2 linked regions of the Danio rerio genome follow. The protein of the gene in region 1 interacts with the protein of each later gene in a pairwise test. Links are inferred from orthologs where the notes say so. Each region holds a gene or a part of one and is shown in the gene's direction. Other genes may lie near its edges. The genes, in order: katnal1 and katnbl1.

Region 1 (12,922 bases):
GTTGGTGGTCTGCGTGGAGTTTGCATGCTCTCCCCACGTTGGCGTGTCCAAAGACATGCTGTACAGGTGGATTGAATAAACTAAATTGGCCTTTGTGCATGAGTGTGTTTGGATGTTTCCTAGTACTGTGTTGTAGCTGGAATTTGCTGTGTAAAACATATGCTGGATAAGTTGACAGTTCATTCCACTGTGGCGACCCCTGATTAATAAAGGGACTAAGCTGAAGGAAAATGAGTGAATAATGGCTTGTTTTACTAAATGAATGAAACTTGTAATCAAATTCATGTCAAACAATTTAAACATTAATGGAAGAGCTAAATTTGCAAACTTTATATCAGGGGTCACCAAACTTTCTCCTGGAGGGCCAACACAATCTCACGCCAATTCGTTACTTTTTCATTTAGTGGCTAATTCGTATGAATTCGTACAATTTAAGTACTGCAGAGTTTAGCTCCAACCCTAATCAAACACACCTGAACCAGATAATCATGGTCTTTTTTGGTATCCTTGAAACATCCAGGCAGGTGTATTGAGGCAAGTTGGAGCTAAACCCTGAAGGGACACCGGCCCTCCAGGACCGAGATTGGTGACCCCTGCTCTATACAAACTTAATGTCTAGTGTGGGGTGGCACGGTGACTTAGTGGTTAGCATTATCGCCTCACAGCAAGAAGGTCGCTGGTTCGAATCCCGGTTTGGGCCATTTCTGTGTGGAGTTTGCATGTTCTCCCCGTGTTTGCGTGGATTTCCTCTGGATGTTCCGGTTTCCCCCACAGTCCAAAGACATGCGCTATAGGTAAATTGAATACAATTCTCTGTATTGTGTGTGAATGAGAGTGTACAGGTGTTTCACAGTACTGGGATGCGGCTGGAAGGGCATCCGCTGAGTAAAACATATGCTGGATAAGTTGTCGGTTCATTACCCGGTGGCGACCTCTGAGGGAGAATGAATGAATAAATAAATAAATAAATGAAACAAAATCCCACCTGGGATCATATACATTCCCTTTAGTTTCTGGCCCCCCATACTATATAAACTTCTATAATCAAAGTTAAACCAAATAATTTGTTCATTATTAAGGGCATCCGCTGTGTGAAATTAGAATAGTTGGCGGTTCATTGTGGCGATCTCTAAAATAGAGACTAAGCTAAAAGAAAATGAATGCATGTCTAATGTAAATCTGTTATGATTTGAACTTTTTATTGATTTTCTTATTTGCAAATATGCAGATGAATATCAAATACAGAGCATTAACATTAAAGCAGAACAATACAAAATAAAGAAATTAATTCCGTCATAACTGAGAAAATAAACCAAACCAAAACAAATACAAAAAAGAGGAAGGGTGGGTTGACAATAGCATATGCTTAATTATTATTTTGTCCCCTTACATATTTGGATTGTGGGTCACAGAAATTCAGAAATGGTCCCTATTCATCAAAATACATTTCAATCTTTCCATGTGGACTGTAGGAAAGATTTTGTTAAGCTGTTTTTATTATTAAAGACCAACTCATTCTAAGACCAATATGACTAAAGATTGCAAAAACAATGAGCTGGATTGATTGATGTGTATTTTTGTGCAGTATAATAATTGTAATATATATATATATATATATATATATATATATATATATATATATATATATATATATATATATATATATATATATATATATATATATGAATGTATGGTTTTAACACCACACACTGAGCCAGTTTTGAGGCCTTCGTGTGTTTTTCGTGACAAACACGGGCTTAAAAAGAGCACATGAACGAATCACCAGATGAAAATCTTGATTAATCCGAGCCGCCTGCTGTTCATCTGCTCAAACTGCATAGTTTTAGTGGTGTACAGCGCCACCAGACGAGTGTTTTGCGCCACTGTCATATGTTTATAGAGGCCGTGACTCTTCAATCTGATTATATCAGCTGCTCTCCGTCCATGCCATCATCATTTTCATGCCCTTATTTCTGAGCTTGGATTTCCTGTGGGTAGTATACAACTGCATAGATCCTGTGGTAAAGATACATTTGTTGATTACAAACTATATATTGGGGTCGAGGGGTTTTCAGTCAGTCAGTCAGTCAGTCAGTCAGTTAGTCAGTCATTCAGTCAGTCAGTCAGTCAGTCAGTCAGTCAGTCAGTCAGTCAGTCAGTCAATCAATCAATCAATCAAAATATAATTAACACCAATTGTTAGATTTACTTATTATTTATTTATTTATTTATTAGTATTTTGTATTTCTAATGTATCTTTATAGATTTATATTATGAACATATTTGTACTGTTTTAGTGTATTAAAAGCCTAAAAAGGATTACCCATTGGATAGAAACCATTGATGCAACGGGTGCTTTAAACTGTAGCAAAGTTACACTGCATTGTTCCAAACAGAAATAATAATAATAATAATAATAATAATAATAATAATAATAATAATAATAATACTATTTATAATGATAATATTAATGATAATAATGATAATAACAATAATATTAATAATAGTGATACTACTACTACTACTACAAAAAATAAAAAAATTAAAATAATAATAATAATGATAATAATAATATTAATAATAATTATACTACTACTACTACAACAAATTATAATAATACTCATTATAATAATAATGATAATAACAATAATAATGATAATAATAATAATAATTAACATGATGATAAAATAATAATAATAGTTTTAATAATATTTTAATAATATAAATAACAATAATAATAATAATAATAATAATAATAATAATAATAATAATAATAGTATTATTATTATTATTAATAACAATATTAAATAAATAAATAAATAAATAAATAAATAAATAAATAAATAAATAAATAAATAAATAAATAAATAATTTTGTGTGCATTAGAGTATAGCCAGTTTACTTGAAATAAAAAAAATCTGAAAAAAATGAGGGAAAAAATCCCTATCAAAGATTTTGGCAACAGTTTATCAAGGACACACAGTAAAATGTTCATCAGTGTAACTGATTATATGCCAAAAAGTCTTATATTTATACAGTTTTTTCTCAGTGGCTTTGGTGCATTTTTCACTACACTATTTACATTTGCACAACAGTTAATGCATTTCTCAAAACAATCAGTCATTTGTGCAGATCATAGTAGCAGTTTCTCATTCCTTTCAACACATTGCAAATGCTTTCGGACATGCATCAATTGCTTTTACACAACTCTCTGCTGTTTATAACATTATCATCTGCTTGTCATGTCAGTCATAATAAACTAAACGTGTGAATGCTGAATAGTCATTCCATATAGAACTAATAGTCCTCATTTCATTACTTGAGTCATTACATACAAAAATGTTGAACTTGTTGTCAAAATCTGTCAAGAAAATGTATTAACTTTTAAAAAATCAAAACTTTTAAAATGTATTTTTTTCTAAAAATGTCTTACAGTTTTTCTCAGTCGCTTTGCTGCATTTCTCACAACACTAGTGCATTGCATTTGCAATTACAAACTGCAAAACCTAGCTGATAACCTGCAAAAGCGTGTCACTTGCTCAAAATGGTTCATTCCTCAAAAGCAAGTATTGATGTCAATGAAAGTGTCAGTGTGATCAAGATGAAAAGTCATGACACCATTGTTTATGAACAAGATAGTCAAATGGCTTTGTCATGTTTTCATTATGACAGTTTACTCGGTACATTTTTTCCAATGCAATAGACAGACATTTGAAAACTACAGAATGTTTTACATGTTTACTGAATTTGCTCTTTACAATCCTAATTTATTCACAGCATTGTGCAGAACAGTAAATACACCCTTATTTACAACAAACATAAACTCCCTTTGGGTAGAGCTGTGCACAACTGTAGACAATATTGCAGAACATATTGGAACTGAACCTACAACACACAAAGGTCTGTAAATCATTCAGGAAATTGTTCAATTTAGAAGACACTTTCAGGAAAATAAAGATTTAATTTAAAAAAAAATAATACTTGCTATATTTTGAAAACTAGTTCAACATTTTTGTATGTAATGACTCAAGTAATGAAATGAGAACTATTACTTTTATATGGACTGACTATTCAGCATTTACAAGTTAAGTTACAGTTTTTCTCAGTCGCTTTGGTGCGTTTCTCACAACACCAGTGCATTTCTGTACAACAGTTAATGCATTTCTCAAAACAAAAAGTACAAACTGCAAAACCTAGCTGATAACCTGCAAAAGCGTGTCACTTGCTCGAATGGATAGTTCATTCCTCAAAAGCAAGTATCGATGTCAATGAAAGTGTCAGTATCATCAAGATGAAGAGTCCCGACACCATTGTTTATGAACAAGATAGTCAAATGGCTTTGTCATGTTTTCATTATGACAGTTTACTCTGGACATTTTTTCCAATAAAGTCAGCTTTTGGTGACACTTCCTGAAAATGCTCAAGACAGCACTATATGCTATTTGCACTGAAAATTGAAAACTACAGTAAAGTTAGACATCACTGCATTTAGTGAGGTATCTGAGAACAAGACACTGAATATGTATGTTTCACATGTTTACTGCATTTGCTCTTTGCATTTCTAATTTATTCACAGCATTGTGCAGAACAGTAAATACACCCTTATTTACAACAAGCATAAGCTTCCTTTGGGTAGAGCTGTGCACAACTGTAGACAATATTGCAGTACATATTGGAACTGAACCTACAACACAGCTCTGTAATTCATTTATGAAATTGTTCAATTTAGAAGACATTTTTAGAAAAATAAAGATTTAATTTTGTTTTATAAATTTGCTAGACAGATTTTGACAACTAGTTCAACATTTTTGTGTGTAATGACTCAAGTAATGAAAAGAGGACTATTAGTTCTATATGGAATGACTATTCAGCATTTACAAGTTTATTTAATTTTGACTGACATAACATAAGCAGATGATAATGTTATTAATAGCAGAGAGTTGTGTGAAAGCAACTGATGCATGTCCAAAAGCATTTGCAATGTGTTGGAAGGAATGAGAAACTGCTACTATGATCTGCACAAATGACTGATTGTTTTGAGAAATGCATAAACTGTTGTGCAAATGTAAATAGTGTTGTGAGAAACGCACCAAAGCCACTGAGAAAAACTGTAAATTAAACAATTTTCTGATTGATTTACAGACCTGTGTGTGTTGGTTCCGTTCCAATATGCACTGCAATATTGTCTACAGTTGTGCACAGCTCTACCCAAAGGGAGTTTATGTTTGTTGTAAATAAGGGTGTATTTACTGTTCTGCACAATGCTGTGAATAAATTAGAAATGCAAATGCAAATGCAGTAAACATGTGAAACATACATATTCAGTGTCTTGTTCTCAGATACCTCACTAAATGCAGTGATGTCTAACTTTACTGTAGTTTTCAATTTTCAGTGCAAATAGCATATAGTGCTGTCTTGAGCATTTTCAGGAAGTGTCACCAAAAGCTGACTTTATTGGAAAAAATGTTCAGAGTAAACTGTCATAATGAAAACATGACAAAGCCATTCGACTATCTTGTTCATAAACAATGGTGTCGGGACTCTTCATCTTGATGATACTGACACTTTCATTGACATCAATACTTGCTTTTGAGGAATGAACTATCCATTCGAGCAAGTGACACGCTTTTGCAGGTTATCAGCTAGGTTTTGCAGTTTGTACTAATTGTTTTGAGAAATGCATTAACTGTTGTACAAATGTAAATAGTGTTGTGAGAAATGCACCAAAGCAACTGAGAAAAACTGTAAACATACAGACACATGGACGGACGGACAGACAGATTAGATAGATAGATAGATAGATAGATAGATAGATAGATAGATAGATAGATAGATAGATAGATAGATAGATAGGACAAATACAGTTCGCTTAAAAATATCTAAATTGGATATTTTATAAAATATAGCCTAAATAAAGTGTACACAGGGTACCACAAGTCCCGCCCACAAGACATGCACTCACTCATCAGTGCGCGTCTTCCCGCGGCCATGGCAACATCAGCAGGCAACGGACTGAGGACCAGCCGAATGTAAAAGTGCCTTGAATAAAGGTAAGACATTTACTCATTGGCATGCAAATGAGGAATTAAACATTGAATGCATATATAATGTCGTACGTTCATAGAAGGACCCATAAACTAACATACTGACTTTATATTTAGTTTTCTTCCAAATCCTTTTTGTTATCGTTGGCCTAAATCTTGAGCGTCTTCCACTGTTGCCTTCTGGGTAATGTAGTTTGTTATTGCTGGTTTCATAGTGTGTCTGGGTTTAGGCACAACGGAAAAAACTACAAGTCCCTTGTCAAGGAAAACGAAAGGCGATGACGTTAGTGCTACTCTTACATGCAAGCAAGAATTGATATATTTGATTTACTAAGTAAAACATACTGAATTTGAATTACTAGTTTTGTGTTGTCACTTTAGATAATTTTGGTGGAAATACAGAAAAAAACACGCGACTAAAAAAAACACGAGGCGCCTGGGAAGGTAATTATTATGCGCCTCACGTCAGGTGTCCGACAAATGCTTTATTTTGACAGTCGCTTTGTTTGTGGTCAGGACAAAGGTTAGTATAACAGAGTTTAGTAGTGAGTGCAGATTTACATTCAGACCCAAATAGAAATCCTCTAATGTTGATTGTATTCAGTCAATCTCAAGTGTGCCGCAAGCCTGCGTTTGAGTGAAGGTCTCGGCCGTTAGATCGCCCCCTGGGGGCTGGCTGCAGTACAAGTCATAAAGCCCGCCTCCTCCGTGTTAATGAAGGAGACTTGAGCCCAAATAAAAAAATTAATTACACTTGCAATAAAATGTCCCGAAAGATGGTTTTGGTCGATTAAGGCACTGATTATTGTGCTGAAATAGGTGCAGATCCTCATTTTTGTAAACAGTTTGTTTTTAGCAGTAATTTAATGCTGGGCGTGTCATCGTGATTGACAGCTGTGATTGACAGTTTCTCAAAGCGCGGTGTCTGAGCTTCGGCAGAAGACTGAAGTGTTATTACTCGATTTCTGTGATATTTTACTATGACAAAATAAGTTCAGCAGTAAACTACAGTTTCTGACATACATGATCTGGTGGAACACTGTTTATTCGCTAAGGTCAGAGCTTTTTTCGGGCTTTATTAGTTTGCTAATACACGCCTAGCCACCCAGATAGCAAAATACACTGGGGCCAGTTCTTGCCTGCCGGAGACTTACCCCTCAGACTGACTACCTCTGCTGGACTTACTCCGGATGCCTGGACTCACTGCCCGATTCCAGCCATAGTCAATTGAGCCAGATGCGGCGGCCGAGCGAGCAGGCGCTGCCGCATGCGAGCCGGAATCAGCCCGCGACGCCGCAAGTAGGTTATGTGCGCTGCTGCCTGGAGCTGGCGCGATTGAATCTTCATTATATAAAACCCTCACATTTGTTAACGTTATTACAACCATTTTTGTTGATATAACAACAAACGCATGCTACTATGTGAACGCAAAGTGTATCACTGAGTTTAACCTTTGAATAAAGATGCAAACAGCATACATAGCAATTATTTAAATAAAGGACAAAATAAATAACAATAAACCTGTATATTGCACAAGTATTAAATATTAATACAATTGAATACATTTTGTAGTGCACAATTAAGAAATACGAAAATGACAATAAAACTGCACAATAAAATAAACCCATTTAAGTACGGGGAAAATACAGGAGATCGTTAGCAGTAATTCTCTTTGTGTCTAAATAATAATCTCCACGTTGATCTCCTGTAAGGTTATTTGAACTTGCTTTACAGGACGTCTCTGCATTTTAAGTTTTGGCATGTTATTAAGTAATAAACTGAATTTGCTGTTATAAATCATTATAAGGTTCTTGAAATCGAATCTTATATAACCTAATAGAGCTGTAAATTTTAGATATTATTTATTTACATCATTTACTGTTGCCGTTTTATTTGAACACTCCAGCTAACATGAAGGCATCGAATAAACCAAATGAAAACGGAGGCAAAAAAATTAAATAAATAAACAATTCAAGCGAAAATGAATAAACAATATACTAGTGATGTTGCAGCAGATAGACATTGTATTAATAGTGCAAAGTTTTTTTGCACAAATTGACAAATTGCAGGGTTGGGATGTGTAAATATCCTCTTGATATTTAAAAATCTTGCTGTATTTATCTTCTAAATGCACGATTTTCCCGCATGGTAAATCGTTATGTGTAGGCTATATTTTGGGTTCTGTTGATGGCTATTTAAAAATAAAAACCTTTCTAAAAATGTATGTGTTGTTTATATGTTATTGTTCATATTTTACCAGTGTTATTTCTACCCCTATGATGATAACAAATACCAACAACAAATATAACAATAAGAGAATATATTATTTGTGCTCATATTCAGGCTAGAGTGTATAAAAGATCGTTTATTTCTGCAGTCCAGCATGTATTGCTTTTATTAAAGTTTAACAGCTTACATCACACCGTTTTCAAACTGTATATTATTGTGTTTTTTAATGTAAGTGCTTCTATTTACATCAGTGAGCGTTTGTTATAGTGCAGACACCGGCAGTCGAGTGAGAAGTTCAGGGGGCGTGGTTGATTTTACATAAAGCGTTTGGTTGGAAGCTCGACTCCGCTCATTTTCGCGGCTCCTCCTCTGGCTCCATCAGACAGTCCTTCTGCGCATGTCAAGGCTCCAATTTCAGCAGTCTTTTGCGACAGTTTGTGCCCGTCAAGCAGGCGTTTTGCCCTCAAGGCGTTCAATGGGAAAAGGGGCTGTCGCGTCGTCCATATTTTTTACAGTCATTGGTCAATCTACATGGTACGGTAATGTCAGGTAATGTAAAAGTGGAGAAGACTGGCTTATTTATTCAAGACTCAGTTACTACTGTACGTTTTAAAACGTTATTACAATAAAACATCAAATTTATACACTTTAAGGAGACCAGGTCGGAAAAAAAAACACTTGAAATTGAACGTTGCAGTTTATCATGAATATATAAAAATGCCAAATATGCTGCATACTGTGAATGATAACATTTATATTTTGGGCTTTTTGGCTCTTCATAAAGTGTAAGGTTTAATGGAGTATAGTCTAGTGCAGGGGTGCCCAAACCTTTTCTTATGAAGGGCCAAAAACCTAACTTGAATGAGTGCAGTGGACCAAAGGTAAATTGACAGATACATAAATACACAAATAGTTAGACATATAGACAGACAGACATAGATTGATAGATAGACAGACAGATAGATAAATAGATAAATAGATAGATAGATAGATAGATAGATAGATAGATAGATAGATAGATAGATAGATAGATAGATACATAGACAGACAGACAGACAGATACATATATTACAGATATATAGATATATAGACAGACATACAGACACATATGTAAATGGATAGATAGATTGATTGATTCTCACTCTCTTCTCAGCTGGCATGGCAGGCCAAATCATAGTTTACCATGGGCAACTTTGTCCCGCGGACCCTAGTTTGGGCATCACTGGTCTAGTAGAAAGAAAACAAACTTTTAATCACAAAAGCCTACATATTTGTAGTTTTTACTCAAACTTTTTATATATCTTTACTTTGCATATGCTTGTATACAATTTTCCTTTTTATATACTGTATTTCCTACAAATAAATATTTATTTTTTGTCAATAATAATAAGCCTAGAGTGATAAAAGCGAGACACATTAATTCCCCTTTTTAAAATCACTTGACTCTAATATACGACTGATAAAAAGAGTAAAAAGAATTTTCATTAATTGATTTTCCTTCGACTTAGTCCTTGTATTACTATGGGGTCGCCACAGCGGAATGAACCGCCAATTATCCAGTATTACACAGCGGATGCTTTTCCAGCTGCATCCCGGTACTGGGAAACACCCATACACACTCACATTCACACTTATACACTACGGCCAATTTAGTCTATTCAATTTACCTGTACCGCGTGTCTTGGGACTGTGGAGCAAACCCACGCCAACACGGGGAGAACATGCAAACTTTACACAGAAACGCCAACTTACCCAGCCGGGACTCGAACCAGCAACCTTCTTGCTGTGAGATGACACTGAGCCACCGTGCTGCCCCCAAATGAATAATTATATAATATTATGCAAACAATATATGCAAATTAGTGACATTTTATTAAATTAAGCCTAATTTGCATATTTAAAGTAAACAATTTGAACAGAAAATCTGTAATACAAATAAAAGTTTGCAATTTTTGATGTAATCAGTCAATTGGGGAATAGCAGTAGTGTTTAAGAAAAAGCCTTTTACTCTTATCAGCTTCCATTTGTCACATTTATTTCATACGCAGCTTGTACAAATGTACACATACGCACATTTTCTATTTTCATATACTCAATGAATGTATATTTTCTCACACACCATTAACTGTTAACAATAAAAATGCAGTTACACACAGCCAAAACTAAACTGTATCTTGTATGCGTTTGAGCAGTCGAGACTGAGTAATTGTATCAGTGTAAATGATTGATTCAGCTCTGCATCATCTTATCAGCCTCTCTGTTCTCTTCAGGACTCATGGCCTGATATCAGCAGCTCTCAAACTAGAATCTCTGAACTCCAGTCGTGTTGAAGAAACATTCTGATTTCTCTCTCATCATGAATCTGACTGAGATCTGCGACAACGCTAAGAAAGGAAGAGAATACGCGCTTTTGGGGAACTATGACTCTTCTATGGTGTACTATCAAGGTGTTATACAGCAGATCCATAAGCACTGTCAGTCCCTCAGAGATCCTGCACAGAAAGTCAAATGGCAACAGGTAAAACTCTCTTATACTTTATAACTGTCTAACTGAATATGTATGAGTGATTGTTTATTTAATACCAAAATATATACAGCAGTGCTTCCCACACATAGACTTTACCTGGGTGGGCCGCCCAGGTAAATTTAGTGATTTTTTTTTTATTGTTATTAACATCCTTTACATTTTTTTTTGCATCCGCTCAATATAACCAAACATCTGCAGTTGATCAAGTAGTGGAAAATCTTCTCTCGTTTACCTGTTACGTTCTGTGCATGCGAGACTTGTCAACACTAGGAATGGGATGATAACCGTTTTCAAGGTATAAAGCGGTTTGGAAAAGTTAATGTTTTAAATCCGCCAACATTTTCTGTAGGACCGTTCCTAAGGTATAAGTAAGATTTTTTTATTTACAACAGAATTTTCAGCAGAAAAAGATGTCGTTTTAAATAGTAAAGAAATCTGTGTTTTTGAAAGAAATGAAGACAGCATAAGTCAATGATTGATTTGAATTTTTTAGCCTGACATGATTGCTGCTCCAAAATATTATAAGTCTTTCACAAAATAAAATATATTGTTTTCAAAGAGAGAAAGAGTTTTAGTTTTTTTTTTTTTACATTTAAAAAGAACATATTCAAGAGCAGTAATCACAATACCGTGATACCATGAAACCTTGATATTTTTGTCCAAGGTTATTACACAATCAGAACCGGCCCATGCCTAGTCAACACACACTGACGGTCTCGCGTGCTCTGCAGACCCACAGAGACATATTTTTTTGGGACTTAAAATTTGTCTGCCCCGGGTTTCTAAATCTCCTAAAATGTCTAAAAAGTCTACTTTTGCTTTTCCTCCTAAAGCTTGTATGCGTGTTTACATCACCTTTTTACTTAAGGCTATTCGCTTTGCTTCGCAATTTGCGAGAGAAACATTCAATGATTAATTTTTAAAATCTAAACAACTTTTACAAATTTTACAATATACGCGGAGAAAATGTACATCATTAGTAATGGTTAATCAACTCATTTGGCTTAATAATCTCCTTTTAATCTTGTAATTATGATCATTTTTAGAGATATTGACTTTTTTTTATTCCTTTTTCTGTTTTTTATTTCTCATTTGCTGATTATTTCATTAATGTGATGATGTTAATATGTTACATAGGCTATTTTATTTACTTATGTAAAATGCTTTGGCATTTAAGTTTGCTCTGAACTTGAAAGAAAGAGAGACGCAGATTTGACCTGTCAGCGGGTGCACATGGCTCCTGAATAGCATAAAAGTAAGAGAAATTGTGGATGTGTTCTTCTTTTTTATTTATTTTTTAATTTTTTACTTTACCCATTGAAACTTCACAGTGTATATTAAAATTATTGTTCAATTTAATTATATATTGTTTGTCTCATATAGTTAACTATTTATGTGATTTGGGTAAATGGTGTGTTTCAGTTTGTGGCTACCAGCTACCACTGAAAGTAAATTTCAAACCTGTGGGCACTGATACAGTTGAAGTTGAAATTTTTAAATCTCCTGGAAATTTCTTTTCTTTTCCAAATATTTTCCAAATATGTTTAACAGAGCAAGAACATTTTTACAGTATTTCCTATAATATTTTTCATCTGGAGCAAGTCTTATTTGTTTTATTTTGGCTAGAATAAAAGCAGTTCATGGTTTGTTTAAAACCATTTTAAGGAAAATTATTAGCCCCCTTTAGCCCATTTTTTTTTAGTCTACAAAACAAACCACTGTTATACAATAACTTGCCTAATTACCCTAATCTGCTTAGTTAGCCTAATTAACCTAGTTAAGCCTTTAAATGTATCTTAAGCTGTATACAGGCCCGGATTAAGAACTCAGGGGCCCCTGGGCACATTATCTTGTAAGGCCCCCTACCTGGCCGCACCCCTATAGTTGAATTTAAAAAATAAGAATAATAAAATAATTTTTAAATAAAATGAATCTATAATTTGTTGCCCACATATTTAAATAAATGATATATAGTACATATGTATTTATAGTCTGCAAAGATTTAAATTATTTTTCAAAGCATTAAATAAAAATACTAATAAAACTACATATATATATATATATATATATATATATATATATATATATATATATATATATATATATATATATATATATATAT
Region 2 (13,090 bases), on another chromosome or scaffold:
TAAACATGGTGCATTTTCAGATTTAAGCCTAGCTGGATATTTCACTTTACGTAGAGCTGTGTTACACGCTGTAGGAAATGTCATTTTCAAAAACCCATAATAGGGGCTCTTTAATGAATATTTTGCTCATTCCTTTTAAAAAAATTTAAATGTTCATAGATTTACAAAAATCTTTCATAAAGGCCTATTTAAACCAAGAACAATAACTGTAATACTTGTTCTAAATCCACAATTGTGTACAATGGTACAGAAGTGCAACATCACAGGAATCATTTTCAGAAAATATTTCACTTGAAACACTTTCATTTTTTTGGTCTTTAAAAACATGATAAATGGCCCTCATAACACATCATAAATAAATTGCCAAACAAATTAAAGATTTTTTATAGCTAAAACTGTTGTAGTTTATAAAAAATATGTCTGACTCCTTGATTCTGATTGGTTGAACCAATTAAAAATCATGTACTGCCTAAACTTAGAAAGCAGCACATATGGTTGATAAACAGTATTTCAAAGTATGTCCTTATTAGCTTATTAATCTGTCTGAGTTTCGGTCTGGTGCTCCAGGCATGTGTGACAACAACCCATACTGGACCCTGCTGGAATAAAAAATGGCATGTGCTGTTGGTTTGACACATTGTTGCTAGTTCCTTGCTGGTTTAAGCTGGTTCTTGCTGGTCATAAGCTGCATGGTCATTAAACCAGTAGTCATGTGTCAAACCTACCATTTTTGTTTTGTTTTGTTTTGTTTTGTTCCAACAAGGAAGCTCCTGCTCATGCCACTATTGACAGACCTGCATTCAATATGCTCTTGATACACTCAGTCAAAAAGGTAGCCTACAAAACTTGTAACTGGGGGAGTACCTTTTCAAAACATATTTTGTACTGGTCCACATTAGTACTTTAAGGATATATTTTTTGTAACTTTAAGGTATCATGAGGTACTCATTTGTACATTTTAGGTACTAATTTGTATGTTGAACGTCCTTGACATGATAGGTACAATAGTGTATCTTTTACAAATGTACTACCTCTATGACCTATTGTATCTCTATTTCAGATAGTGTAAATCCTCCTGATCAACTAAAAAAATAAAATAAAATAAAATACAAATGGCTGAATCAGGAAGATAGCACTTGTGCCAGAATGAATGCCAGTTGAATTAATATTGTCCTCATTGCCTGCCAATTATGCCTTATGAACATTAAAATATAGTAATGTACTGTATGTAATGTATGATTAGGAAAAATGAGCACTGACTGACTTTGAATATGACTTTCGCCACTACAGATTTTGAACGTTGAGACATCACTAGGTAGACACTAGGCCTATAGACAGAAGCTAAATATACCACAATCTCAAAAGTGTATATATTCTTAATTAGGTTTAATGTCAGGTTAACCAAACAAAGATGAGTTCAGAGGTCAGAGTTTATTTTTAGGTTAGCACATAGGGTCAGGGAGTTTTTAAAGACACAAAAGACTGCGGGTTAAACTGTCACATTATTTGAGGTTTGCATTATTTTGATGTTTCCCTTGTTTAAACAAATTGCAATATGTACCAGGAATTATGGTTACGCCACAGAAACGTTTCTGATTGAGCTGAGACAGACAGCTGATAAATAAGCTCGCCCGCATTCATTTTCGCTTCAACGGCGCCACAACGCCATCTGGTGGCTGCATGAAATGTGTTTTGGTTTTGGAAGCCGTCCAGAAGACACTTAAAATTAATTATCCTAGATCAGTTTTGCCAGTTTTGGACATACTGTACCATCCAGCAAATCTTACCTTTGGCAACAGGAAAGAAAGCCAGCTGAAAGATGATCTCAACAGATATTGACTAATATTTCTTTTGTGAATGTCAGTCCTACAAGTCAGCACATGGAACTATAAGTGAAAAGAGGATTTCTTACATTTTAACTGACTACATAAATCATTAACATATTACTGTCTCTAAGACACAAAGGCTTGACTATTCGTAACTTGCTTTTCTTTAGATGTCTTTGTATTAGCATGCTGCTAGTGCTAGCAATTTATACATTTAGGCTACTACATTTATAGCCCTGCTAATCTTTCATATTTTTATATTTTTTACATCCTAAGCAGCCTGGTTCCAGGTTTTGTCATTAGAGGTGAACTGGAGATGAAGAGGAGAACAGATGAGCATTGCAGGAAAAGAGATGTGAACTTGTTGTGTCAGACACATTTCTCCTCATGTTACATCACAGGTGGAGGTCTGTCATGCTAAAGCAGAGATGCCCAGACTAGGGCCTGCACACCAAAGTTGGCCCGTGGTAACCTTTGATTTGGCCCACCATCCCATCTGGAGGAATGATGGGGATGGTTTAAAGATTGTCATTTAAACCTTTTATTGTTTTTTAATGACATTTTGTTTAACATGTACATACTGTCACCTGATGAATCGAGGACAATGCAGAGATGTGTGTGAATCAAGGCAAAGGCAGATTCTACTTGCACTAAACTACACTTATAAATGTGATTTTTTTTTTTTTTTTTGCAATATGTTATAATTACAGTTAGTTTATATGATTTAAAGTGATGTTTTCTATTTATTTATAAATATTATAAAATTAATTTGAAAATAATGCAAATTTATCTTTGGCCTATGGCTATGATGATATTTGGATTTTGGCCCTTCATATGAAAATGTTTGGCCACCCCTGTGCTAAAGCATTTGCGAATGTCTTATTGGGCATCCATTTAAGGATAAAATATTACACGCTCGAATATTTTAAGTATCAGATGTCAGTTTGAGTGCTTACCTGCTTCAAATGAAAGATTATTTGGCATAGCAACTCGGCCTCCTTCACAGATATTATATCATCACCTACAAATATAATATGTGGTTATAACATCTGGGTAAAGCAGATCAAACCATCTGTTTCCATGTGCTTACAATCTGTTTATTTACTAAAGATTGAGTGCTACGACAGACTAGTACATTTTTGTGTTAGACTTCGAAACTGTGTCTTAATCACAGTAAAATAGAAGCCAAGCTCACACATTCAATTCCCAGAAAATGTCTGAAGAGAGAAAATGTTAATCTGAATTAAGAGCCCGATACAAAACATCTGACAAATTCTTATTACTATTTTTTTTCACAAATTTTCAGCACTTTTATTCAGAAAGTTTGAATTTCATTTTAATTTCTAATAACTGTTGGTAAATGGGACTTCTTTAAAAATAAATTTATACTGTGACATATTGAAATGCAACCTTTTTTTTTGTAATTGAAACCAAAAATCCTTTTTAAAAAATGTATTTGTGCCTGTGTAAAAAGTCAAGTGAACTGAATGGCATTTTTCCGATATTTTATTTCCTGGAAGTGCTGTGAAGAATGTATTTTTGTTCCCAAGTGTCTGCCCCTTTTATTCCAATAAAAACTAAGGAAGTAAAGTCTGTTTATCTTTAGATGACTTTTTTTTTTTTTTTTTTTGGTTAGGCTATTTTTATTCATATTGAAATGGTAGCTATTACTGCAGTCTAATAGTGACTCTTGAAAGAGCAACTATGATTATTATTTTTATAGAACGAATTGCACAACCCAAATAACGATGCAGCTGCTTGGTGAATTTTTGTGGCTGTCTGAATATGAGTCCTGATGTCGGCTATTTTATTCAGTTTTCCCGATCAGTTATTTTTTTAACTGTGGTGAGATTTGTCTTCAATGACACATTCTTCAAGAAATGCGTCAATTTCTTGTGCTTAACTTCAGGAATAATTGTAGGACAGATTAAAAAAAATTACGGTTGCCTACTGCATGCGTGCTGTTTCTGTACATTACTGAAAGTTTCAGTTAAGTCCCCAAATCTTGCTTTCATATATTAACTTACACCAGTCTTATGGCAGTATTCACAACACTGTTCAATTGCTGATTTATTTATGAGTCAGCCTCACAGCAAGAAGGTTGCTGGTTCGAGTCCTGGGCCATTTCGCTGAACCACCAACTTATCCAGCACGTTTTTACGCAGCGGATGCCCTACGAGTCGCAACCCATCTCTGGGAAACATCCACACACACACACACACACACACACACACATTCATACACTACGGACAATTTAGTCTACCCAATTCACCTGTACTGCATGTCTTTGGACTGTGGGTGATACCGGAGCACCCGGAGGAAACCCACACAAACGCAGGGAGAACATGCAAACTCCACACAGAAATGCCAACTGAGCCAAGGTTCGAACCAGCGACCATCTTGCTGTGAGGTGACAGCACTACCTACTGCACCCCTACATCGCTTGTCTATAGTGTATGTGTGTGAATGAGGGTATATGGAGGTTTCATAGTACTGGGTTGCAGCTGGAAGGGCATCCACTGTGTAAAACATATACTGGATAAGTTGGCGGTTTATTCCGCTGTGGTGACCCCTGAAGAAAAATAAATGAATCTCTGTGTCCCTTTATTACAGTTTGTGGTTTCATGAAGTTTTTCAGGACCTAATGATCACATCAGCGCCGATTGATTGTTATCACCTTTCTTAACTTCTTTGAACTTAAGGTCATGAGATGCTAAAGGATCTTAAGCTAACAAACATCCATTCTAACAAGGTTTTTCCTGTAGATTAAAGTGTAATTAGTGATAACTAAGGACCCTTTATTTGTAACTTTTTCATCTTCCTTGAGTACATTTCTGTTCTTTATCACTGTGAGTAGGTTTGATCATCAAAACCAGTGATGTCAAGCACTTAGCAAACCTCCATGGAGGGCCACAGTAAGATAAATAAAAAAATCAGAGAATGATCTTTTGCCTGCTCCAAAAAAGTCACATAAAGGCACATAAAAAAGTCAGTCAGAAATTGCTTGTAAATTGCTTTTCTACAAATACAAAAAACTAAATCAATGAAAAATTATATTGCATTGTATATGGTGGAATGGTGGAGGCCTTATAAATATTTTGGGGTTGTAATCTAAACAAAACTGATCAAAGAAACTTTTGTAAAATAAAAGGTTTTCTGACACTTCTAAGCCAATAAAGAACCTTGATTTGTTTATTTATTTATTTTATTATTTTGTTTTTTATTATTATTATTGTTGTCAAATGGGTTGAGAACACTCATTTACAGTTAATGTGTTAAAAAAGTTTGAAATAGTTAAGATAAATCTGGATATTTATTATTCATTTTCCTTCAGCCTAGTACCTTTATTTATCAGGGGTCGCCACAACAGAATGAACCGCCAACTTTCATATGTTTTACACAGCGGATGCCCTTCCAGCTGCAACACAGTAGTAGGAAACATCTGTATACACACTCATTCACACACATACACTTTACAGCCAATTTAGTTTATTCAGTTCACCTGTACCGCATGTCTTTTGACTGTGGGGCAAACCGGAGCAACCTAAGGATACCTATGCGAACACAGGGAGAACATGCAAACTCCACAAAGAAATGCCAACTGACCCAGTCGGGACTCGAACCAGTAACCTTCTTGCTGTGGTGCTAACCAGTGAGCCACCATGTTGCGTAAGTCTGTAAATTTACAGTTAATAAAAATTTTTCTTTTCTTTTCTGTTGTATTATTATTAACTTTAATTACATAAAGCTATAGTTTGGAAAGATGTTGCTTCTAAAAATACTTCAAACAAATGTTAGCTTTCCAAAAGGAAGCTGATTCATTGTGCCCCACCAGATGTCGCTAAACCTTCAATCCTGCTGCTTCACCCATCCCAGCATTTCAAGTTTGTATTTATTTGAATGGTCCTTCCTTTCCTCTGAAATCCACTCAAATTCCCGTTTCTTCCTGGTTGCGCGTGGACACACTCTCGGATATATAACGTGCTCTAGGATGCACAGACAACTTTACACAATGCTATGGTGGGTGTTTACGAAATACGCTGGGCTGGCAACGTTTAACAAGTTATATGTTGTGTACGTGCTAAGTCCTTGTTTGCTAGCAGGTGATTAGCTAGACTTGTTTGCTTATCAGCTAGCTATCTCGTGTGTTTTCATCACCTGCTTTGATATAGGGACCACTGTGTGAGTGTCGAGTAATCTCTAGTTTTGTCTTTTGCAATTTAAGTTAGTTAAAGATTGGCGACTGTACGGTAAAGTGTGGTTGGCTTAATTAGCTCGCTAGCGCTAACAAACCCTACACCTAAACAACAACGTCACATCACTGGAGGCCTAAAGCTCCGTCTGACAGATGTCTAGACGTTTACTAGGAATGCTAGCTTATTAATTTGAAATATTTAAGTTGGATTTAATTGAACCGGTTCGTAGATTCACCCTCTTCCTCTGACTCAGCGTAACGTGCTACGTGGTAAGACCCTATGGGTAAGACGTCCGTTTGAAAATACAGAGCATCCTATTTGTATCTGATAACGAACTATGGGTTATTTGCAAGACACGAATAATATAACATGTTTGTATATATAGTATTTTTTAGTATAAGTTTATATTAAGATAATGAAACCCAGTCCTAATTAAAGGGTATTAACGAGTATAGAACCTTAGCATATGTTCCCGTCTTGCTTTTTGGCAACCAAATAACAACCTTCCAGCAACCCTTTCGGATTTTTTGTGATCAAAACCTTTTTCTTTTATTTTGTGGTAAATCTAACGAAAACATTGTTTCATTCTTAATGTTATTACTTTAATAAAGATCATTTGACTAGTTTTATTGAGAAACTGATTGTTGTCATACACTCTAAAAGAGAAGCTATACAATTGAGGCTTTGAGCAAACAAACTGCAGCTGTTTGCTTTAACAACACCATGTATCCTGCCCTGTGCCAAATATATATATTTTTCCATTGTACTCTAGAGTCCATTATTATGGCCACTGGAAGTCATGTTGGAAGTAATGCAGAAGTCCACAGGCTCAAGCAGGCTCAGCCCCATGACCTTCTCAAACGTATGCTTTGTTCTGGAGATGAGAAGAACATGAGGGAGGTAAGACCATTTCATTCACACAGACAGTGGTTTGTTATGCATATTCATGGTGGTGTTCGTTTCGTTTTTTAGTTATGAAAAATATTCAGTGTTTTTAGCTGGAATACACTGCCCAATATTTGTCCAATTTTACGGTCTTGATGTTTAAGCATTATATGTAGAAGTTCAAAGGCAGTCTGCAGTGTTTTTGGCAGTCATAGAAGCTCACATGATAGGCTCAAACAAGGTAATTGTTGGTAAAAGAAGATATGTATTTCTGTTTTGGAGCATTTTAGTGCATAGCTATTGCAATGTGTGTGCGCGAAATAGTCACATCGCAGAGTGTGCAATGTTGAGATATATAGTTGACTAGGAGAGACTGTTCAGAACACATTAGGTTTGTTGGGCCACTGGAGAGTTTAACCATGATGGAGTGAAAGTTTATAATATGCATGTTTTTGTGAGCATTTTAATAAATTTAAGAATGAAATTCAGTAATCTGGCACAATAAATGTTACTGTTTGTAACTTTAATAAACATTAATTTAATTGATTTATGCAGAGTTTTGTGCTGTTGTTCATTTGATTATTTAATTTCTGTGCCTGAATACTGCTAGACTCTCCAGGAAACCATAATGTACTGTTGATTTCACTTTTTATCTTTGCTCTGTTGTATTTATCTTTGCTTGTCATTTGTTTGCTACATGTAATGCATGATTCACTCTCCTAAATAATCATCCCAATCAATCTAAAATGAATAAACTCTTCTCAAATAGAGCTTCTGCTTAAATTGTAATTGCAATATACAGGGGGTCCGTGATGTCTTAAAGTCTTAAAATGTCTTAAATTTAAAAAACAAAATTTAAGGCAATAAAAAAATCTTAGTTTCTGTATAATGATGAATCGTATATCTTAAATTATTTTAATCAGGTCTTAATTTTCCTATGTCCAGGAAAAGCTACCCTATCGGCCTGACACCCAATCACAAATAATCCATCTAAACTTTTCTTTTATTTTTATGCTTTTTTATTATTGCAAAGAGATACAATTCACAACAACTGGTAAACATTTTACAGTGAATGCTCCAAATTAAATTCCCTATTCAGAGAAAGACAACTAAGCAGCACATCCCTTTACATGATCTTCCATTAATACAAAAACTATTTACAGAAATAACCGGCCTATTGGGAAAAAATCTTTATTTTAACCCTGTATAAGTCTAAAATTTCATTCATAATTGACTTAAAAAGTCCTAATTTTGACCTGAAAAATAAATATTGCAACAAATTATCACAATGTCTATTTTTCTCCAATATGGCCCTATATCAGTGACTATGCGGGTTTCATTCTAAAATGATCACAAAAACCAAAAAGTCACTGTAACAAAAACGTTTCCTTGTTTTCAGATACATTTATTTACAGCCAACTTGATGTTATAACTTGAGCAGAGTTAGGAAAGCAATGTTTAGTATCAATTACAACAAAAGTTGACTTTTCATTTTTTTGAAACGACAGCAAAAAATTGTCTAAATGACAATATATTTATTTAAAATTTGGGGGAATATGATGTTATACAATAAATCAATTCAGAAAAAAATGTTTTTTTTTATTGCTCTCTAGTCTGGTAATTTATTGTTTGCTTCCCACTTTTTTTTTTCTGGTCACCTAGAAAGTTTGATACCTACTGTTTTTAAATCTATTCAGATTTTAAGCATTGTGTCATGTAATCCAGCTTTTAGTAACACAACTTTTTAACTGTTGTCTCTTTTTTTAGGTGGATTATTTACTGAAGGACGAAACTGATCAAGAGAGGTATGTTTTTGAACTATACAGTAGCTTACTTTTACAAATTGAGGTAAAATTGGATTTATATTCGCACATTTGTTCAGTGACAACTTATTGACACAGTCTCTATATTGTTTACAACTCTACTTTGAATATTCTGTCTCAAATCACAAGTGAGTATGTCTTGAAATCAATGTTAGCACTAATTAATTGCTTGAACAATGTTGTACTTTTATAGTTATTCACTACTAATATGATTTCACTCTTTAGAATTTGCAAAAAGTACTATTCTGAAATTATTTTTAAGGAGAAAGCCTGAATGTGTGAATATAAAACCAACTTTACCTCAATCTTTTACAAGTCAGTTTTAAAGTATGAGATTGTGTTCTGCTCAATTACACAGATTTCCAGTGGGCCGTTGTGTGCACAAATACAGCAAAACGAAGAGAGAGGTGGTTGGCAAGAAGAAAACTCGTCTCTCTGGGGTGGGACCAAGAGCATGTCGGAAATTGCCCACCACAAGCAGGACATCTGACATGGCAAACAAAGAAAACGAACTGACCTGCGTTGATGAAGTGCAGGCTTTTCTTTACAGTGACAACTGTGGGTTCCCAGTGAACTCCACAGACGCAAAAATGGCAGGAGCTGGCTCCAAATACAGCGATTATTTTACTGAGGTGAGCTAATGCTGTTTTATGTGAAGCCTACAGGTGTGTTCCAAATTATACACTACACACTGTTCTTTTTACACTTTAGTTTGTTATTTTTACATCGTAAGACCCTCCACTTTTTAATTCAAGCTCCATCAGTTGAACACTTTTTTTTAATAAATTTTTTTTTTTTACATTAGTGTATCATCCACATTTTTGAAAGTGCACTATTTTTACTTTTCGTAATTGTGAATGCAATGTTTGCTCTATTCCAAAAAATGGCATAGAATATGCTTTTATAATTGTCTATGATATAGTCTTCAGGCTATCATGTTTGCAGTGTATCTGTCATGGCAAACTGATTTGAAAATGGTATTATTTATACTAACTTAATTTGTTGAATTTCAGTTATCAAAGGACCATGAAGCAATGAGTCATGTGCTCTTCGGAAGGAATCTCAGACTGAATGTTGCTTTGACTCTTTGGCGGAAAAATGCAAGCGAACTAGTGGCATACTTAAACAGGTTAGCAGTTTCACATTTAGTGGAATGAAGTTCAAATTAATCAGAAAACTGACTGGTAAACATTTTTTCATCATTAAAAAGGTTGCATTTAGTTGATCAAAAGTCATTGTAATCTTGCTTTTACTTAAGAAATGACTGTTACAAAGTTAGGCATCTCAGCTGTTTTTAAGGTTTTGTACTAATACATTTTAGAAAATCACCATGTTCGAATAATTGGATTCTATGATTCACGATTACACAAGAACTGATTGACTGCTGTACATTCAGTTTAGGTTGTTTTATAATTTCTAGACATTTTTATATCACCATTTCACTGCATTTTTATGTAATTAATCCTGCCTTGCTAAGCATAAAAGGCAAATTAAATATCACATGCAACTATAGATTTATTTAAAAATAAATGCAGTGCTCAACATGCACATTAGATAGTCAGTACTGAAGACAAATCTGGATAACAGTCCAAAATGAATACAACCAAACTTAAATGTTAAGCAAAAATATTGAATAAAACATTTAACAATAGCAAAAAAAAAAAAAGAAAAAAAATGATTTAAACAAACTATATAATATTTTGCATGAATTTCAATGTATTATCTTTATATTTCTAAAGGTGTTCGTTGACTAAAATATCATTCATTCATTTTCTTTTTGGCTCAGTCCCTTTATTAATCTGGAGTTGCAACAGCGTAATGAACCGCCAACTTATCCATCATTTGTTTTTTGCAACAGATGCTCTTCCAGCTGAAACCCATCACTGATATCCATACACACTCATTATTACACATACACTACAGACAATTTAGCTTACCCAGTTCACCTATAGTGCATGTCTTTGGACTGGAGGAAATCCACACAAACACAGGGAGAACATGCCAACGACACAGCCGAGGCTCAAACCAGTGACCATCTTGCTGTGAGGCAATCGTGCTACCCACTGTGCCACAGACTAAAATATTTTTTTAATAAATAAATCTGTTTTGTTCAAATGCCCCAATATATATTACCTATATTCACTGAGAAATGGATATAATTATTCATTTTCATAATGGGATGTATTCATTTTTGTTGAGCACTGTATATGTGTGTATTTATTTATTTTTTTAAATTGAAATGCTGCATGCATATAATTATTTTTATTTACAGAATACAAGACACGGGGGTGCTTGTTGACTGTTTGCCTGTACTTACTAAAAGGTACCGTAGCCTATTTAAAAACCTTTTTCACAACATGTAAATTTATTCAAAGTTTGTCACCGATGTAATAGGAAGACATTTATCTTCATGACAGTTTCTTTTTTTAGTCTTCAGGGAGAACAGCCATGCATTTCACTGGGCTGTTGTGTTGATCTTTTTCCACAAGTGAAAATGATTCTTAACACTAAATATGAAGAGTGAGTATTCTGTCCTTTGCCTTGTGCATTCTGATGTACTCTTACTGTTTGTTGTAGTTCTACCTAAATTGGACTTCATCTTTGTTCTAGACACCTCATCGTAGCTTTACACTGGGTTCAATCTATCATTAAGAAATGGTGGTCTGAGCTCTCCACAAACAACAAAAGTTTGCCCGAGAGCAGTTCAAACGACAGGTGTGTTATTTCTACCTTTACTGAGGTTAAATGGCAAAACATCTTAGAGAAATTTGCTAAACACTCAACATGCTTGTATCTAACAGGAATGTTCAGGCAATGAAGACAATGCTGCTTGAACTGTGGCAAGGAAAGAGTCACTTAAGCTCAGTTCCAGGAACTGTAGGAGAAACTGCAAAGGTGGATAATTCAATCATCAACTTTGTAAAGTGAAAGACTGCAGTGTTTTACAAAAAATGTGTCTTGCCTATTTCCTTATCCTCTTGTTTTCTTTCACAGGTCATCGAATCATATGTGTCACAACTGCGCTGATGTATCAATGTAGCACACTAAGGAGAAAACCACTATAAACTCTTGGTGTATTTTAAGCTCTTGAGGTTGATGAATCTGAACTCAGTAGACTGTGGTGAATTGGGGGTAGATGAACTGAACAATTCAGACACTCCAATTTCAGCACTGGAGGAGGAACTCTTCCTGCAGGCACCGAATGACTGCTTCACATTGAAGTGGACTTGCTTAGGGGCACATAATCAACTCCATGAGACTCTCTGGAATCAGGCGACTCACTGAAGTGCCAAGCAGACGTTTTAACTGTTGCACTTGTAGTGCCATGGTGTGAATCTGCTTAAGTGGATGTGATTGTGTAAGTGTACCTTTATCGGATGTTTTTTCAGTCACGCACTTGAATTGCAGGAGTTTTAAGTTATTAGTGTTGTTTTTGTTTTGTCGTCTGTTGCCTGATCGTGAATGAATATTTGAGTGTCATGTGTACATAGTGATTTTTCTTTTAATCGGCTTTCAAATAAATTGACATAATCTAAATGTTTTGTATGAATATTTATATATTAAATGCATGTTTTTTTTAAGGGGATAGTTCACACAAATGTGAAAATTCTCATCTTTTACTAGCCCTTCATTTGTTGAACGCAAAAGATGTTTTGAAAAATGCTGGTAACCCTTTTTTCTGCGATAGAAGTCAATGGCTGCCTGATTAAAAACCACATTAGAGAGAAATATTTTTTTTTTTTTTTGTGTGAATATCTCTTTCTTTCACTGATGTATAAAGAAAGATCCTTTACAACATTTAGCAAAATGATCATCGTGCTTATGGGATATGCAATATACATATTGCAAAAATGCGATAAATTACATTTATGCATTGGCTGTTTATCTAAATTTGGCCAATCAGATGCTTACTATATTTAACCTCACCTTCCAAGTATTTGTTTTCACATTGACACTGTTTTTCTCTGAATTAGAATAATTGGATCTAAAAAAAAATCTTTTACCTATTTATTTTAATATCAATAAGTAATTTATTTAAAACATGGCTAATAAACTAGAGAAGTGTTATATTGTAAGACCGTTATACTCAACAGTAATAAGGCATATTTCTCCAGCAATGTGCAGCCCTACTATCAAACCCTTCCGAAACTAAAAGAACTTATTAAAGCCGAAAACCTAATTCAGTTTTTTACAATAATATTCAGTGGAGATGCAGAGATGATTCATGAAACTGCTTTGTCAACAACTCATTTGACCTAAGCGTTCACTGGAAATTATTATTAATCAACAAAAGAAATTTACATGCACTATAAATATTTGTATGTCTCTAATTGTACTCGTTTAAGAGATTAAAATACAT

What was found.
Region 2: the proteins of katnal1 (region 1) and katnbl1 interact in binary tests that used the Homo sapiens proteins (3 or more experiments, as listed by UniProt). The two-hybrid records come from large-scale screens. The link is inferred for Danio rerio from reciprocal best matches to the Homo sapiens genes KATNAL1 and KATNBL1.

The regions. Positions count from the first base shown.
Region 1 is NC_133185.1:41,477,074-41,489,995, reverse strand, and holds the start of katnal1 (katanin p60 ATPase-containing subunit A-like 1), read left to right. Parts: upstream 1-5,967; 5' UTR 5,968-6,050; intron 6,051-10,543; 5' UTR 10,544-10,629; coding exon 10,630-10,791; intron 10,792-12,922. UniProt on the Homo sapiens protein: Regulates microtubule dynamics in Sertoli cells, a process that is essential for spermiogenesis and male fertility. Severs microtubules in an ATP-dependent manner, promoting rapid reorganization of cellular microtubule arrays.
Region 2 is NC_133195.1:31,940,544-31,953,633, forward strand, and holds katnbl1 (KATNB1-like protein 1), read left to right. Parts: upstream 1-5,746; 5' UTR 5,747-5,846; exon of another isoform or gene 5,847-6,301; coding exon of another isoform or gene 6,302-6,305; intron 6,306-6,794; coding exon of another isoform or gene 6,795-6,805; coding exon 6,806-6,922; intron 6,923-8,674; coding exon 8,675-8,712; intron 8,713-9,088; coding exon 9,089-9,362; intron 9,363-9,743; coding exon 9,744-9,859; intron 9,860-11,002; coding exon 11,003-11,053; intron 11,054-11,160; coding exon 11,161-11,250; intron 11,251-11,340; coding exon 11,341-11,445; intron 11,446-11,531; coding exon 11,532-11,625; intron 11,626-11,724; coding exon 11,725-11,757; 3' UTR 11,758-12,299; downstream 12,300-13,090.